Linked DNA regions of Schizosaccharomyces pombe. The gene in region 1 interacts genetically with each later gene. Each region holds a gene or a part of one and is shown in the gene's direction. Other genes may lie near its edges. The genes, in order: SPOM_SPCC306.07C, csr102, utp16 and SPOM_SPCC584.03C.

Region 1 (4,009 bases):
ACTAGGTACAGGACTTTCTGAAGGAATATTTTATAAGAGATGCTATACGCATATGCTTTTTTATGCTTAGAATCGGCATGAGGAGTTTGTTTGTAACCAGGATGTCGAGTAGCTTTGCTTTGCTAGTCAGTCCGTATAAACGTTATGGTGTAGGATGCGGCTACTCATGTTTGCATATATATACATATTTTATTTTCAACAAATTTTTCTAACTTTTGATATAGTGTCTAGTATCTTCTGAAGAAAAGAAGAATCAACCTTTCAACTGGACATTTTCTATTGAAATTTCTTTTACCCCCCTCTCTGTCTCACACACACTCTCTCTATTTTTTTTAAATACCCGTGTTCTCTACTTTGCTTTGCGAATTTGTACCTTTCAAAGATGTTTGCCAAAGTAGCTTTCAAAAACTTTACTCCCCTTAAGAGTATCGCTCCCCGTTCTTTTTCTACGACCTCCAGTCGCGCATTCAAAGTAGCCGTTTTGGGTGCTGGAGGAGGTATTGGCCAGCCTTTGTCAATGCTTTTAAAACTGAACGATAAGGTTAGTGAATTGGCCTTGTTCGATATTAGGGGAGCTCCTGGCGTTGCTGCCGATATTGGACATATCAATACCACTTCCAATGTTGTTGGCTATGCTCCTGATGACAAGGGACTTGAAAAAGCCTTGAACGGTGCTGATGTGGTCATTATTCCTGCTGGTGTTCCCCGTAAGCCCGGAATGACTCGTGATGATCTCTTTGCTACTAACGCATCGATTGTGCGGGACCTTGCTTTTGCAGCAGGTGAAACTTGTCCCGAAGCCAAATATCTCGTTGTCACTAACCCCGTAAACTCTACTGTGCCCATCTTTAAAAAGGCTTTAGAACGTGTTGGCGTTCATCAACCCAAACATTTGTTTGGTGTCACCACACTTGACTCTGTTCGTGCCAGCCGTTTCACCTCTCAAGTCACTAATGGCAAGGCAGAACTTCTTCATATTCCTGTTGTTGGCGGTCATTCCGGTGCGACCATCGTACCTTTGTTGTCCCAAGGCGGTGTTGAATTGACTGGTGAAAAGCGTGACGCACTTATTCACCGTATCCAATTTGGTGGTGATGAGGTTGTAAAGGCGAAGGCTGGTGCTGGAAGTGCGACCTTGTCTATGGCCTATGCCGGTGCTCGTATGGCCTCCTCCGTACTCCGTGCTTTGGCTGGTGAGTCTGGCGTTGAGGAATGCACCTTTGTGGAGTCCCCTCTGTACAAGGATCAAGGAATTGATTTCTTTGCCTCTCGTGTAACTTTGGGTAAGGATGGGGTTGACACCATTCACCCTGTTGGTAAAATCAATGATTATGAGGAGAGCCTTCTTAAGGTAGCTTTGGGTGAGCTGAAAAAGAGCATTACGAAGGGTGAGCAATTTGTAGCATAATCTTTTATGAATAACAGAAATGATATGATATTCTTTATGAATGTTTGTTTTCTCTTGCTTCTTTCGTGTGTGTTATTTCTTTTACTTTAGTCAAAAAGTAATCTGTATACTGCATTCATAGTGTAGGTATGAATGTAAAAATTATGTTACAAGGTTTCCTTTTATATGTGCGGTTGTATAGAAATTTCATATCTATTGAATTCCGTTTTTACAGTCGAATAGATGAGGGTTTTCAATATGCGGAGTTTTGCGAAAAGCGATGATTCAAATTTACAATAACCACTAAAAGAAAATTGTTAAACAAGTAATAGATAATAAGTTTTCCATTCATTCGACATTTGCGGTTCTTGAGTTGTTGGCCTTATTTATCTAGTATCGTTTCAAAGCCATCAATTTAATAAGGCCATGGCATATAAGACAGAACAATTGTTCTTTGATTAATTCTTTACAAACTAAACTTTGATAATGATATGCTACAGAACTTTCAATAGCATTGTAATATTAACTTCTCTGACCAACCCAAGTTGAACTTGCAAAAAGCCATCCATTACTTACATCTTAATAGAAATGGCGATTACAAGTGAAAAAAAGAAAAATTTAAAGTCATTGGATAAAATTGACATAAAATTAGTAAGAAATTTTTTTTTTAATTTCAAATTATCGTGCAATTTACTTACAAATAATCAATAGCTAGAGAAAACAATTAGAGCCCTGCTGCAGCACATTCGATCCTCTGATAAACCTATTGAAAAAGAAAAGGTTTATATTCAGGTTAATACATTCCAACCCGTTGAGAAAGAGTCGCTTAGAAGACCATCAAAAGTGTAAGTGAGCATTAATGATGAATTAAGTTTCCTGAAGTAATAAGATCAACAATAAAATTTTTGTTCTTATAATTACTTAAAACCTTAAGCTTCTACTGCTTGTGCAGAAATAAAGAGGTATTACGGTTTTGTTGATTTGCTAATAAATCAAGCTTGTTGTAACATTCATAGAATCGATGCGTGTTCTTCATTAAAATTATAAGGTACTAACTATTTTACAGATTCCTTCCGCACAGGATAATGCATGTAACAGATGCTTGTTTGATTGTGAAAGATTCACAGCAGACATATCAAGATCTGGTGGAGCAACAAGGGCTTGACGAAGTCATTACAAAAGTACTTAGCATCCCGAGATTGAAATTAAAGTATAAAACAATCCGAGAAAAATGTGAGCTACGAGACTCTCACAACCTTTTTTTGGTTGATGATCGTGTATTAAAATACATCCCCCTATTGATGGGGAAAGTTTTTGAACAGAAAAAAATTAAGCCATTTCCTATTTCTGTTTTACAAAAGAAAGAGACTTTGCGTAATCAAGTTGCTCGTTGTCTTCATTCTACTTATCTTAAGTTATCTGCCGGCACTAGTCATACCATTCTCTGTGGTTTGGCCACTCAAACCAATGAACAATTGTTGGAGAATATTACGACTGTATTGAAGTGTCTGCTAACTAATTTCATTCCGAAAGGGTGGTCTGCAATTGATAATGTTGCGATTAAAACAGCTGACAGTGCCTCTCTGCCAATTTGGACTAGTGACACCAATCTTGCTGCTCATAAAAGACACATTGTGCACATTCAAGATGCAAGACCTCTTAAGAAAAGTGAACTGCGTGCTCAAAAACGGGGTTCTTCTGGAGAAGGCAAAGGGAATAAGTGAAACTGACTTTCGCTTTCCTAAATTGAAAAAAAAAAGTATTTTAAAATAATTACCATTTTTCTACTAAGGCTAGAAGAAAGAGTTTTGACAATGTATTTATAAACACCATTTGACTTTGCCTGTTTCAAATTTCTGATACATTTCTTTCCTTCGATGTTAATTAGTTATGTGAAAAAGCTTTGAGTGGCTGAAAGCAAAAGGGATTTACAAGGGCACGTCTTTTATAAACGGGTATTTTGGACTGAGTAATAAATAAGGGTTTTTGTGTATAACAAGTGTCATGGACTATTGTCATGATTTTGGAACAAAATCTACACCGTCTTGTGTTTTGTAGTATTATTTTTTTCTCGTAAATAACATGTTATATTTACATAATCTATCTGCTTATATGTAGCTTGTTCATTCAGAAGGATTTTAGTACCTTTAGATACTGAAAGTAGTATATAGAGCTATTCTCTACCACTCCAACGCTCAAGCAATTGACAACATCCAAACTTGTCCAAAGTAAAGAAAATTTAGTGTCAAAATGTTTTCTTGGAGTATTTTATTTATAGTTTGCTTTTCTTTAGTATCAGCATTTAAAGATACTTCGCCGATTTTCTTATTTTCTACGAACTCGTATGTCCTGCATCCATCGATGGCATTATACTGTGTAAATTATTTAATCTAACTAAAAACAGCAAACTCCCCAAATCATCCGATGATTCTTCAATATCCACTTGCCCTATGATGTTTTTTGACGCCGCAATTGAGGCACTTTCGACATGCAATACAGCTACCTTAATTATACATCAACCAGGCCTTGAGGTTAATGATTTTCAGTTGGGAGCTTTTAAACATTTAAAGCGTGTTTCTTTGCAATCACCCTATAGCTTACTTCTTCCTTATTCCAAGGAGT
Region 2 (5,121 bases), on another chromosome or scaffold:
TCGAGGAGGATACTAACGATCCAGCAGTTGAGCAAGAAGTCATCAATCATATCTCGGAAATGGTTGTCAATGCAAAGAAACCAGTGATTTTAATTGACGCTTGTGCTGTAAGACATCGTGTCGTTCCAGAAGTACATGAGCTGATTAAATTGACCCATTTCCCTACATATGTAACTCCCATGGGTAAATCTGCAATTGACGAAACTTCGCAATTTTTTGACGGCGTTTATGTTGGTTCAATTTCAGATCCTGAAGTTAAAGACAGAATTGAATCCACTGATCTGTTGCTATCCATCGGTGCTCTCAAATCAGACTTTAACACGGGTTCCTTCTCTTACCACCTCAGCCAAAAGAATGCCGTTGAGTTTCATTCAGACCACATGCGCATTCGATATGCTCTTTATCCAAATGTAGCCATGAAGTATATTCTTCGCAAACTGTTGAAAGTACTTGATGCTTCTATGTGTCATTCCAAGGCTGCTCCTACCATTGGCTACAACATCAAGCCTAAGCATGCGGAAGGATATTCTTCCAACGAGATTACTCATTGCTGGTTTTGGCCTAAATTTAGTGAATTTTTGAAGCCCCGAGATGTTTTGATCACCGAGACTGGAACTGCAAACTTTGGTGTCCTTGATTGCAGGTTTCCAAAGGATGTAACAGCCATTTCCCAGGTATTATGGGGATCTATTGGATACTCCGTTGGTGCAATGTTTGGTGCTGTTTTGGCCGTCCACGATTCTAAAGAGCCCGATCGTCGTACCATTCTTGTAGTAGGTGATGGATCCTTACAACTGACGATTACAGAGATTTCAACCTGCATTCGCCATAACCTCAAACCAATTATTTTCATAATTAACAACGACGGTTACACCATTGAGCGTTTAATTCATGGTTTGCATGCTAGCTATAACGAAATTAACACTAAATGGGGCTACCAACAGATTCCCAAGTTTTTCGGAGCTGCTGAAAACCACTTCCGCACTTACTGTGTTAAAACTCCTACTGACGTTGAAAAGTTGTTTAGCGACAAGGAGTTTGCAAATGCAGATGTCATTCAAGTAGTTGAGCTTGTAATGCCTATGTTGGATGCACCTCGTGTCCTAGTTGAGCAAGCCAAGTTGACGTCTAAGATCAATAAGCAATGAGCAAGCTATTGAGAGTGGAATTGGCAAACAAAGTTTCCTTTGATTTATATGTTTTTTATGATAAGCCCATTCAATTCATATAGTCTTTTAGTATAATGATTAGTTATTAAATTTATGTTTAAAGCAACTTTTTAGTTTAAAATTTTTCAAGTCAAGTTAGGGTGTACGTAAACAAACAATACCTTGGAAGCAATGAATGAAAAGGTAGAGTTAATCCAAACAATGTGGAAACCAGTTTCCTTGCATCTACTTACTAGTTTCGCAGAAAAATTGCTAAACTGCTTAAAAGCCAACTTTAACATTCTTATTTCTTACATAGGAGCTACCGTTCCATTCACATTGTGATATGCTAAGAATTTATTAGTTTTACAAAAATTGGGTGATTCTACTATTTAATACAGTGGTTTTGTAACGTAATGAAATTATAACGCTCGTTTATTACGATTTCCTAGGTAATGTAGCGGGTAAAGGCAATTGACTGATATTATGTATCACTCTATCACAGCAACGGACGAACGGTTTGCGTTGTTGTTTATAAATGGTTCTGCAACGCAGCTTCTGACTTTGACACTCTACACCACACCATACTTCAGCGCTCTATTCTTTCGCATAGGAAGGTAAGCTGCATTTCGTGGCGTTTGGTACCTTGAAAAAATATATTTTGGTTAATATTCGTTGGCTTTTTCTTTTAATTCTTGCTACTAATTCCAAGAATTGTGTAAGTATAGGAAGAGGCTGTGTTGATCGGTTAGTTTCGTAATTTCGGCATACTAGTGATTCCTAAAATACCGACTACTAATAATTATAAAGCTTAGATCACTTCTTTGGCTAAAGTAATTAAACCAGGAAGTCTTAAAATTCCGCTTTTTAGCATCCTAAAAATTTCCCCGTCATTTCTCAAAAGTGTTAAACGCGTGAATGTTCTCAAAGCTCTGTTTTCTTTTCTTTGCTTTTTGAACGGCTTTGTCTTTGCATTAATTTTTGTGACGCGTTTTGTGCCTCCAATAGGTAATTAATCTAAATCCGTTTAAAAAGTTGTAGGTGACTTTTTATTTTATTACGTTTTGCTTTCATAAAAAAATCCATTTCCTTCTGTGCGTTGCATATTCATTAATATATCACTTTGATATACATTAAGGTGAATTAGAAATTATTGAGCTCCTCTCCCTTTGTTATTATTTCACGCTTTTTCTCAGGCCCACTTATAGTCCTCTGAGGAATTTTTTATCTTTTTTTTTAAAATACCAACTCAGTTTTTGTCGAGTGATTCTTCTTTTTTATTCATTCATTCGGTTAACTAAGTTCCCTATATTATTTTGTTTTCTACTACAAGCATTACGTTTTGTTTTTCAGTGAGCTTGTTTCGCATCTCTGACCAAAAGGAAGCAAATTGACGGCTAGTGTATTTTTGACTCGTCACATTCTTTTGTCTATCTTTGCCAATTTTTCAAATTATTATATATCTTCGAGATTAACCTCCATTCTTTAGGCTTATTCTCGTAATTTCCTTCTCAATTGAGTTCAATTTTATTAATATTGATTTCATCTGATATATTTTTTCCTTGGACTTTTTCTAGATTATATTTGTTTGCGCGCAATTTACTTATTAAATATGCCTGAAGGAGCCGGTAGACCGTGGAATCTCACAGAACTTGAAGAAGAGAAGTTGAAGACTATGTGGAGTTATTTGTTTAAGCTCTTCGGCATTACTTTACTCGAAAGAACTGAATCTTGGTACACAGTGAAGACACACTTATCTGATGATTCAAGTAGTTCCTCATCACATCGTTTAAGCAGCGTCTCATATGCGAAATCCCGTACACGACTTGAACTAACGTCTTCATCTCATGGCTCGGACACTCGCAGTTTTAATGATAAAACCAAAAATGTGCATTTGGAAAGAGTTGAAAAAATTGCAAGTGAATGGGACCCGGAAGGGCTTAGAGTTTGCTTTTGGGATGCTGTTAATTGTGATGATCCTGATGGCCTTCTACTTCGTTTCCTTCGTGCTCGAAAATGGAACGTTGAGGCTGCGTTGGAAATGTTCATGAAAACCGTTCACTGGAGAAGTAGAGAGATGAATGTTGGTGAAATTGTATGTAACGCTGACCACCTTGATAAAGATGATGATTTTGTGCGTCAACTAAGAATCGGAAAGTGTTTTATATTCGGTGAAGATAAACACAATCGTCCAGTTTGTTATATTCGCGCACGTCTTCATAAAGTTGGTGATGTCTCACCCGAATCGGTTGAGCGACTCACAGTTTGGGTCATGGAAACTGCTCGTTTAATTCTCAAACCTCCTATTGAAACTGCTACTGTTGTTTTTGATATGACTGATTTCAGTATGTCCAATATGGACTATGGGCCATTGAAATTCATGATCAAGTGTTTTGAAGCACACTATCCCGAATGTCTGGGTGAATGTATTGTACACAAAGCGCCTTGGCTTTTCCAAGGCGTTTGGTCCATCATCAAATCTTGGCTTGATCCAGTGGTTGTCTCAAAGGTTAAATTCACTCGTAATTATCGTGATTTGCAACAATATATAAATCCTGACAATATTTTAAAAGAATTCGGTGGGCCTAATCCATGGAGATATACATATCCAGAACCCTGTCAAAACGAAGCAGAAGCTCTGAAGAATGTTGAAGCTCGTAAGAGTCTTAGAGCAAAAAAGGATGCAATTGCTAAACAGTACGAGGAAGTTACAATGGATTGGATTTTGAACAATGGTGACATGGCAGAAGTGAAACAAAAACGTCGTAAGTTAGCTTCACAACTTATTGATGCATACTGGAACTTGGATAAATACATCCGCGCACGCTCAGTTTACGACCGCATGGGCCTAATTGCTCCTCAAACTTCCCATACTTTGCTTCTTTCTCAACCTACAAATGGAGATGTCAAAGAATCAATGGTAGAAGTTACTAGCTCGGCAACTTAGTCGGTCGTAACTTTCAATATTCCTGCTATTTTACATTGTAATCCTTCCCCTTGCCTATACTCCCGTATACTGACTAATTGTACTTTCCCGTGTTATTCTAAATAAGATGCTGGCTCAAAATATGATTGTATCATCTATTAATGCATAACTTTCAAGATCTTTTATATCAATTAGTTACATATGAAATCTCTTTCCTACGTTGATTTTTACACCCCTTTTCGTTTTACCATTTCCTTATCGCTTTAATTTTTTAGCACTCTCTTTAATGCACTTAAAATCATCTAGAAAGGGATAACTTTTTTTAGGTCTTATGGCTTTTCATTGAAGTTGTTGGTCGCAATACTTATCCATCCATTTTGTCTTTATTAGAATCAATGATCAGTTTTATTTGCAAATTAACTTAGATTTCTTGCTATTTATTATTATTTTTTATTTTATTGTAGGAAAGCGGTTCGAAATTAAAAAAAACAACAAGCTGAACACCTAAATGCCTACTCCAAAATATAGTATTAATTTAATGAGTATGCACCTTCGCTGAAGTATATTCCGTGCCGTAAAAATACTTTCGAGTTTAAACACGCGTGAGGTTCAAGCACCGATTAAATTTATTTAAAACAAGAGCGTTTTATTTTATTTTAATTGTTCTTAGTGAATCACTTAATCTTAGGCTCCTGTTTGACAGTTGTTTAAAACTTACAAATTTTTGGAGGTTATGATAGAAATCCTCTTTATTCGCGAATGCACGACGACTTCTTTTACACATCCACCATAAATTCCTGCAACTCGTAGAAAGTTTTGTTGAACCAAATGCGATCATCCTTAAAGCCAGTGCTATCAAATTTGAGGTTCAACTCAACAATTGCATCCGAATCACTTCGGTTTCATGTTTCACGTACACCTTCAAAAAATCTCCCAGTCTATCTAGACTACAAACAACGAGGAACGAAAATTCTGACTTTAATTCGTAAAATCCATGGTGATTCTAATGTAAGTATACATATTCCGTCAGCAGTAATCTCTTGGCTA
Region 3 (3,714 bases), on another chromosome or scaffold:
GCGACGAGCAAACTCAATAGCCTTGACTGGTCCAAAAATGCTCATAGCAGATTTCAATGACACATCAGATGTTTCGGGAGGAATGTTCTTGACGAATACAGATGTCTCCAACAGTTCATTACTCTGAGTGTACGGCGCTGTTGGCTGCTGAGTTTGGTCAGCATTAACACCTTTAACTGTTTGACCAGTTGTAGACGCAGTAGAACTAACTGATGCTTGGGATTTCACATCAGGATGATTACGAGCTATGAGATCAGCCCAAGATTTAGGTGCTGTAGCAACATTTGCATCGCTAGCCCCTATAGCATCAGCATTCTTCGAGTTTGAAGTCAGAGCTTCATCTTGAAGCTGATTTTCCTGCTGAGAAACAAAACTTGGGACTGAGGCTTCCGTAACTTGGATAACGGGTTCTTCAGGAACAGCCAAAGTAGCTTGATTTAGACTGTCGGTCTCATTTGATATAAGAGCGGCTGTGGCAAAATTATTTTCTGTAGCAGCTGGATCCTGGTAATGGCCTTCTTCTTTTGCAGAAGGTAAATGTTCTTGAGATTGCACGCCATTTACGTAAGGTTCAGAAGCAACATCTTTTTTCTCTTTTTCAACAGCATCAGGTGACTCCTCTTCTTCCTCAACATCTTCACGCAAAAAACGGAAAATATCGTTTAAAACAAAATAACCATTTGGTTGTTCTGCAAGGAAAAATGTTTGAGCAAATTTTCTGGATAATTTCCCCTTATTAGACATTTCACCCAGGACCTGGATGACAATGCCACCATTCGAAGAAGCCAAACTGTCAACGTTTGAAATAAGTACTTTGCAATTTTGAAAGTCCAAGTCCAATATCTTGTTATGAATTTCCTAACACGTTAATAAAATGACTATTGGGCAAGACAACGATCATAGAGTTTCGAAAATCGCAAGCAGAATATCACAACCTCAAAAACTTTACATATAAGAATTGTGTTAAAGCATACCTGTTGTCCATGACAAAGACTAATACTCTCGCCTTCGTCTCCGTGAATTAAAGTTGACTTTTTAGTATAGAAACACTGTATTACAGTTAGTACGGTTCACAAGTTGAAGAAAAAAAAACTTTTGGTAAATTATGACGACCTACATGAAGACGATTGGGTTCTTTATTTAAATATGTATAATATTCTTGAACGAACATCCATCCTATCTCATCCTTTCCCAAAACTGGTTCTAATAATGTGGCATTTTCCGCAGTCATGTTTTATTTAACTGTGACAATAGCTATACAAAGAACAGAAAATCTGGCTCTAAAAGACCCAAAACAAAATTCGGTCGTGTCTTATGTTTTCCGTGCGTTGGTCTTTTTAATGTCCCATCTCCTTGCTTTCAATGTCCGTGATTACAGCATTTCGTAATTGGATTTAACGAGACTAAACGATATTTCTGTTGATCTTTTACATTCAACTTGTTCGCATAAGTAAGTTAGTTGATGGAAAGAGAGACCTTTTGGTCAGAAAATTGTTTGGTTTTTCATTTCAACAAATAACATAAACATCATATGATTTACCATAGATCAAAGTTGCATATATTTCTTTCTATTATTGTTTTGCAAATTGATTATATTAGAAACGTTAATTCATTGGAAACCACTAAACATTTTGAATAGTAATACGACTATATACTGTGCTAGAGAGATTAACCTGCTAATGATTTTGCCAAAAGTCAATTAGTTTAACAGCTTTAAATGCAATCGTCTAGAAAAATTATGATACTAAAAAGAAAGTATGCGAGCCTTTAAATCATTTAATTAACGAAAATTGAAATTACTTTCTTCTTCTTATTTACCAGCATTAAAGGGTTAAAATCTAGTGCTATAATTGCAACGTATCTTACTTTAAATAAATTATTTATTGATAAATTTTGTAAGACTCAGGAAAGTACCTATCCTATCCATTTTGTTCACTGCCATTTTGGTGGCATTAAGAAGTTTCACTCGCATTGCCAGTTATCCTCCTCCTACACCAATTCAGGTCAAAAAAGTTTCAAATCCTTTAATAGTCTTCGTTTTATAGTATTAAAATCCAAAACTTGTCTGTTAAGGTATAAACTTCTGATAAAGACATTTTGTTGCATTACTTATTCGAAAATTGAAAATTTGTCAAATACTAGAATGGCAAGATTGACTGCCCCAAGCAAAGGTCCTTCATTTTCAAATTTAAACAAACCAAATGATTTGTTGAAAGCGGAAATTGAAGATAATGAAGCCTCACACTACTCTCAAAATCAATCATCTGACAGTGATTCTGATGAAGCACCTGAAGAAGTTTCGCTGAAGAGCAGCAGCGATGAGGTAAAAAAGAGACTTCAACGTCTGAAAGGGAATGAATTACAGTAAGTTTTAATAAACGGAATGAGGGAAACACTTAAAAATACTATTTGTTTTGGTTTGAGACAGAATAATAATTTGTTTGATAAAAGTTCGACTGCTCATTTCGTTTCCTTGCTTTTGATAGTATTATTTTTAACACATTTTAGGCTTCGAAAAGCTGAAAGAGAAAAACGTAGACTGCAAAATGAAAGAAATCGTGAAAGAAATGCCCAACGGGTAAGCGCATCAAAGTTGGATTTGGCTATTCTTGAGGCAGCTGAAGTTGAAGAAATTAATAGTACCACGGAAATCGAAGAAAAGGTTGACGAAGCAAGCCTTGACCTATATACTCCAAAAGGACATAAAATTGTTTTTCCTAATAACGAAATTCCTAAAAAACGTACTCGTTCATTTCGTAAAGGTGATTTTAAAGTGAGCGTTCTTAAAGAAACAAATGACCCTTTACTAGCGCCGAACTATGAAAAGAAACTGTCACAGCGTAAACGGGATTGGATAAATCGACAATCAGTTCCCCGGGCGTCTAAAAGACGACGTCCCTTGACTTATTAATTTTCCTTTCTCTATTTGGCAACACATTCGCTGTAAATTGAAAGTCAGGCACAAGCATTGCATTTTCTGTTAATATAAGGGTTTACTTTTTTGTTTATTAATAATATTGGTTGGGAAAAGGTTGTCTGGGTTCTAAAACATTCATTATTTGAAGCTTTGGACATGCTAAGTGCAGTTTACGGCTGTTTTTTTGGTAAATGTTTAACATAGTATTTTTAAAAATAAACACTTTAGACAAACATGAGTTAATTAAAGTTGTATCAAGGATTTATTGCCATGCACTAGAGGAAATTCGCTCATGTAACGTTTCGTACATCATAGATATTATAGATATCAGTAGCTATAGCTCATAAGGCCAAAATTTGCATAAATATATTATTAATTGTCTAGTGTATGAACATTTACTACTTATAATTATAAAATATTTGCATATAAATTTCTGAGATGGTTTGTACTTTCGACTACTTGCACTAGGCAAACTTCGCTTTTTAGCACCACAAAAATTTTGTCACTTCAAAGCATTGTTGACCTTCACCTCTGCAGCCATGTCGGCCCAGGATGTCGAAAACGCAGTAGAAGCAGCATTAGATCCTTCTGTAGGACCAATAATAAAGCAACAAGCTACAGATTTTATTGGTAGCCTTAGAAGCTCATCTACAGGTTGGAAAATATGCCATGAAATTTTTAGTGAAAAAACGAAATATAAACCATCAACAAGACTGATTTGCCTTCAAACTCTTAGTGAGAAAGTTAGAGAATGGAACAATGAAAGCAATTTGTTAGAGTTACAGATGATAAGAGAC
Region 4 (5,604 bases), 1.1 Mb from region 1:
TTTAGCTTCTCTCTCTATTTTCTCCATAGTACGCTTGTCAACCATACCAGTCAAGAAAAGAATATTACCACCCAGGGTAGACTTTCCTGCATCAACATGACCTATAAAAACAATATTGACATGTTCCTTTCCATACATATCCTTCAAAAGCTCTTGATCAACCTCATTTTGTAAATCGGTGGCATCCTCAGTGACAGTGGCGGGTTCAGCTGCCTCAGCAGCTTTCTTAAGAGCCGCTGCTGGAGCAGAGGGTGTTTTTGCTAGTTCAGCATCAGCAGATTTTGTAGGAGTTTCCTGGGGAGGAGGAGCAGCGGTCTCCTTCTTTGTTGACTCAGAGGTAACCTTGGGTGCAGGGGTCTCTGTTTTGCTTTGTGCAGCAGGTGCTGCTGGTTTGGTAGTTGTAGGAGCTTTTGTTCCACCAAGGCTGATGCTAATGGGCTTTGTAGACTTAGGAGCAGAGGTGTTTCCACCCAGGGACAAAACCTTTCCTTTGGGAATTGCTGGTTTAGGAGGCACAAAACTCTTCTTTTTAGAAAAATCAGGGACACGGCTTTTATCTTCATCAACAGTGTTTCCTGTTGGCTTTTGGTAGTATTGCTGATAACTCTTCGTAGGATGTGGCGAGTTGCTGTTTTGTCCTTGGCCTGTATATTGGGCATAAGGATAACCACCAGCAATATTGTTCACAGGTACAAATCCGGGGCCTAGCAAGAAGTTAATAATTTTTTTACTTAAAACAAGCAATCATCTCAAGACATATGGATGGTGTTCTAATTAAAAAACGTACGTTGGAAAGAAGGAATGAAGGGAGCAGCTTTAGGCGTAAACGTAGGTGCCTTTGCAGACATCGACAGTTTAGAAGTCTGCTTGGCGAGTTGCTCATCCTGTTCACCGTTATTTGGCTGATTACTAGCCATTTTTTGCCTTTATTAAAATATGTGGTAAAGGGACGGTGATGTTGAAGAGAATTTACACCACAGTATACACTGTGTATTCTTTTATAATATAATATTACGAGTACTTACGATGATATTATTAGCATCCTTTATATAAGCTTGTGCTATAGTAATTCAGTTAAGTTCATAAAATATTATATTTGAGTTTAATTTTACATTTGGTTGTAAAATCGGAAGCAACTGAATTGTAAATTGGTCATTTTCTCGCTTTTTTCTTCAGTAATACGCTATTATTGTCTTAAACAGGTAAAATATATTGACTTGCCTTGGGAGATAAAAAACAGAAACTTCGGTGGGCTTAATACCAAACACAACATTTATTAGCTATTGGGTTGAACAATTAATCAAAAGTTTTTAAATCTATTGGTTAATTAGTCTCCATTGTCACCAATAATCACTGCAAGGATTTTGTCATGGAAGAAACGATGAATCAGCGTTACAGCTTCAAAATATATACCAAGCAAGTTCCAAAAGATTCAATATGTAAATCCATTATATAATTATTCACTTTAGGATTTCCTTATACAAAATTCTATAGGCGTGTTTGGATATTAAACTTCTATCCTCCACATATCACTATGACTTAGCGCAAGTTCTATTTGGTTCTCAATTTACTACGCTTCTTTTTATTTCGTTATTAATTTGTTGTTAAAAGGAATAAATACAATTTGAATGACCATTATTTATTTGTTTAGCCTTGTTTTCTCTTGTGTTTTTTAAAGCCGCCTTTTTAGAAATGGATGAATTACTTAATGTAGCTTCTCATGCTGCGACATTTGCTACGAACTTCGCGTTGAAACATAGTATATCATTTGCAGGAAAATTAGCTGTTCAGCAAGTTAGCAGCTATATTAAACGTGCCTCTGCAGATGATCAAAGTGAATTGGAGTCTGTGAAAACTCAACTGCTTGAAATGATTCGAGTTGTGACGCCTGCTATCGAACTAATTGAAATAATGTCAGTCGGTGAAAATGAAAATTTTAAGAGTACTAAGCAATTAGTGGATTCTTTGCACGCTGACATCGAACAATTCACCAAGCATGTTTTAAGCGCCGCTCATTCGGAATTTCCGCCTTCCTCAGAAAAAGAAACTTTGCAGAAGAACGTTGATACGTCTATTCTTCGTGAAATGAAAACTTTACTTCTCAAAATTAATGATGCAGTTCCTCTCTTAAATCTGTCCATCACTACTTCTGGTGCTTCTATTTCATCTTCTCTTCCAAAATCTACTTCATTTTCCCAACTTCTACGAGCTAATTCATACATATATAGGGCGAATGTTGCATTTACTGGAAATGAACCTTTACAAGTTGGCCCCACATTTTTCCTGCGAACTTATAAAATTATAGATAACCACGCCAAGTCTGGTTATATAAGCAATGATTTAGTCATGTGGAAAGAAGAGATGCCTGTTTGTATCGCCAAAATGTTTCGCATGCCTCCTCAACGGTTGAAGTCCAAGGATACGGTTCTAGCCTATGCTTTATCTTTAAAACAATCTTTTGATGATGATCGTTACCATGATGAAGATGAGACTCCTGTCACCAAAACCATTTCACTAAATGATGTGCGCACGCTTTTTTTTAGTTTGTCCGGTAAACTTCTTCGGTTAGATGATGTACAAACTCCCGTATTATTACTCAAGTATGCAGATGATGAAACAGAGTATTCTTCAAATACAGCACCTTCGAACTGGATAGCTTTAGAAGCACTTCCTTTGGTATCAATACCTAATGAATCATTAGACGAATCTGATGAACTTGCAGAATCTCTTAGTGATTCTGAAGCTGCTAGGCTACAGCTTTTAGGCATCAAAAAACAAGAATCCGTTGCAAAGAAAAAGTCTTCCTTTCCATCGACTATAAAAGATCAACCTAATTTAACTTTACTGGAGTATTTGATTAGATTATGCGCGCTCGAAAGTACTACCCAAGAATCAGTTTTACAATTACCTGACGAACAAATTGCATTGTATCTTAAAGATTATCAAGGAAGAGAGAGGCCCCGAGATCCGGCTTCATATAATGCCTTAGAAAATCGAAGTGAACTAAGCGCCAGTCCAGGTTCAGTATCCTCCTCCAGACATTCTGGAATTTTTGCGACACCAACGTTTCTGTCACCATGGAATATTAAAAACATACCTCTTGTTACCCCTGAAGTTTCAACACGTCAAACGAAAAATGTTGATGAAGAGGATTCAGCTTTATTGATGGCTAGCCCTTCTGTCCGGAAGTCCAATTTACTTCCTCAGGAGGACCTCATTTCAAAGGATTCTGTGATTAAATTAAAAGAAAACCCTTCTGTTATTCCTCATTCCGAGCCTGAATCATCGTCGAAAGTTATCAACTGCCAGGCTAAATTAAATGTGGAAAAAGAAAAGAAAAACCCGTGAAAACTTTATCAGAGTAATATTGACGCTATTCAATACACAACTATTCTAAATTTCACTTCCCATGGGAAATCCTTGAAATGGTGTTTGATCCCCAGTAAATTTGAATACATAGATTTCTCTAATGTTATATGCACCTTTTTAGACGACCAAAACATTCAAATTACTTCATCTTTTTATGATTGAATACTTTATGTGAGAGTACTTATACATATGATATGACAATAACCTTCATTTGTCGCTATTTGGAATAATAACGAAAGTTGTGAATTCAAGGGATTCCGGATATATCGTCTTTGGAATGTAAGTACTTTGCGAAATTGAAAATATCGGCCTCTTGGTTTATGGTAAAAGAATCGTTTTCTTTTTCATTCAATTGACTTGCATCAATGCGATTAGAAGCATCTGTTAGTGAAAGAGGTTTCCTATATCCTAATATATCTTCACTGATGGGTAGTGTTCTTCCTAAATCGAAGGTGTAGGCTTGACTTGCAGGATTTAAAGAAGAATTCATAATATCTTTGTCGGTTGAAAACAAAAAAAGGCTAGCCAATATTGGGTTTTTCTGAGTGAAATTTAATAACTCCTGATACTCATTGGCGAAGGGTAGAAAAGGCTGCAAATGACAAACGCATTTTAAATTACTCTTAAGTTGTTGTTTTATGGCTCTGCATTTTTTGCTGAATTTCAAGTTAATATTTTTTTTCTGATCAATGTGACATACCATAGTAACGGCCTTCCTCTAGTTCGAACTTCTATCAGTGCCCTTTCTTGATGCTGGCAGGATGAGCCTCGATGACCTCGAAGGCATACAACACTAGAGTAAGTGTTAAAAATTTTATCTTATAACCATACAAAAAGTCTTACCAAGCATAATTCTTACCGTCAATAATGATCATGATTGAAGGTATTTGTGATTAAGGGAAAAGAAGACAAGTAGGATTCGAGTAAATAAGCTAGTCGAGGAACGTTTTAAATAAATTCCTCTTATACGTTCTCTTCCTTTAGGTTGATAAATTGTAAATGACAGCTTTTTCCCAAATTCCTTTTTCCTCGTCTCTGCTTTAGCTTTCTGATCCAGAAGAATTGCACAACGGATATTAATAGAAGACAAGACGAACAGCTAAGTGTTTTAAAATAATATACTTTACTTTTAAATATTTCCAATGTTTGTTGTTTGTCAAAAGTTTGAGTGCTGGCATAAATTATTTATAAGCTCTAGCTATGGACATTTGTTTACATATTATGGGATAAACAAATACATCAACTTATTGACACTAACCAACAATAACATACAAAATAGGAAGGTATTAAATCACTATGTTCAATGTTTTTGAGCACAATTTCGTAGAAAAGATAATTTTGATTTAATGAGTGTGCAAACTGATCAAATTGTGATTTTTCCTCGAGGCGATTTCATTCTATGTTTTTATGATTGCGTCAATTCTCTAAGCAGTTTTGCGATTTTCTGCACTCTAAACTTGTTAAATAACTTTTGTTTGCAAAAGGTACCAGATGCTATAAAGACTGGATTTTGTTAATATACTACTTTATATTATAACATATATGATTTTCAGATTACAAAACAGCTTAAAAGTTTGCAACCTAAAGACATAATAACTTTTTTATTGATTGCTCATTTATTTTAATTGATTATTATTTTTCAGGGTTATATCGAGTTACTTTGTTTTAATGTCAGGTTTAAAAAAATAATTAAATGAAAGTAAATGTAAAATGAGGTAGGCTTGTCAGACCCTTCAAATTTTTTTAAAAAAAATTGAAATATTTCTTTCAGAAAGGTATGATTAAACTCACAATTTTTTTCGATTTCAAAAAATCTTTTAATCAATTTGAATATTTGCTACCTACAAATATTGTCACATAATAGAAATGTAGACGAAGTGATTTCATCAAATTAAGGAACGTTCAGTATTTTAAAAAAAGATATGTAAATTCTACAATTTGTGACGATTTGGAGATGCTACTATTTGAAATGTAAATGTATTTACATAAATGTATATTTGCTGCTAGATGCTGATATACTGGGTATAATGAACATAATTACAGCACAGTACTTAGATGCATTTAGCGCACTATGAATAAATCAGTAAATATTGAATACCTGTCAATTTTCTGGAGATAAAACTAACTAGCTAAACTAAAATCATATAATGGAGCTTCTAAAATCAAGTACGTTGCTGAAATCGAACACATCAATACGTGCGGTTCTTTACTCAAATTCACTTGACATTCTATTTC

The links.
Region 2: mutations in SPOM_SPCC306.07C (region 1) and csr102 together harm fitness more than expected from each alone (negative genetic interaction), as found in Schizosaccharomyces pombe (one large-scale study listed by BioGRID).
Region 3: mutations in SPOM_SPCC306.07C (region 1) and utp16 together harm fitness more than expected from each alone (negative genetic interaction), as found in Schizosaccharomyces pombe (one large-scale study listed by BioGRID).
Region 4: mutations in SPOM_SPCC306.07C (region 1) and SPOM_SPCC584.03C together harm fitness more than expected from each alone (negative genetic interaction), as found in Schizosaccharomyces pombe (one large-scale study listed by BioGRID).

What each region holds. Positions count from the first base shown.
Region 1 is NC_003421.2:419,102-423,110, reverse strand, and holds SPOM_SPCC306.07C (U3 snoRNP-associated Cic1/Utp30 family protein), read left to right. Parts: upstream 1-1,940; 5' UTR 1,941-1,975; coding exon 1,976-2,038; intron 2,039-2,098; coding exon 2,099-2,232; intron 2,233-2,411; exon of another isoform or gene 2,412-2,453; coding exon 2,454-3,111; 3' UTR 3,112-3,482; downstream 3,483-4,009. Other genes in the region: mdh1 (malate dehydrogenase), read left to right, coding at 383-1,408; family protein BIG1, read left to right, coding at 3,638-3,729, 3,792-4,009. UniProt on the Schizosaccharomyces pombe protein: Involved in rRNA-processing and ribosome biosynthesis.
Region 2 is NC_003424.3:586,165-591,285, forward strand, and holds csr102 (sec14 cytosolic factor family phosphatidylinositol transporter), read left to right. Parts: upstream 1-1,714; 5' UTR 1,715-2,760; coding exon 2,761-4,095; 3' UTR 4,096-4,587; downstream 4,588-5,121. Other genes in the region: pdc202 (pyruvate decarboxylase), read left to right, coding at 1-1,148; img2 (mitochondrial 54S ribosomal protein mL49), read left to right, coding at 4,903-5,082.
Region 3 is NC_003423.3:3,649,824-3,653,537, reverse strand, and holds utp16 (U3 snoRNP-associated protein Utp16), read left to right. Parts: upstream 1-1,717; coding exon 1,718-1,755; intron 1,756-1,800; exon of another isoform or gene 1,801-1,821; coding exon 1,822-2,364; exon of another isoform or gene 2,365-2,508; coding exon 2,509-2,911; 3' UTR 2,912-3,177; downstream 3,178-3,714. Other genes in the region: ubiquitin protease cofactor Nxt3, read right to left, coding at 1-858, 975-1,049, 1,118-1,231; karyopherin exportin-T Los1, read left to right, coding at 3,457-3,714. UniProt on the Schizosaccharomyces pombe protein: Functions as part of the small subunit (SSU) processome, first precursor of the small eukaryotic ribosomal subunit that coordinates the first two steps of ribosome biogenesis in transcription of the primary transcript pre-RNA and pre-18S processing.
Region 4 is NC_003421.2:1,530,766-1,536,369, reverse strand, and holds SPOM_SPCC584.03C (GTPase regulator), read left to right. Parts: upstream 1-1,517; 5' UTR 1,518-1,692; coding exon 1,693-3,348; 3' UTR 3,349-3,616; coding exon of another isoform or gene 3,617-4,025; 3' UTR 4,026-4,069; coding exon of another isoform or gene 4,070-4,162; 3' UTR 4,163-4,212; coding exon of another isoform or gene 4,213-4,244; 3' UTR 4,245-5,056; downstream 5,057-5,604. Other genes in the region: eRF3-like class 2 translation release factor sup35, read right to left, coding at 1-704, 788-917; Cu metalloregulatory transcription factor Cuf2, read right to left, coding at 3,617-4,025, 4,070-4,162, 4,213-4,244.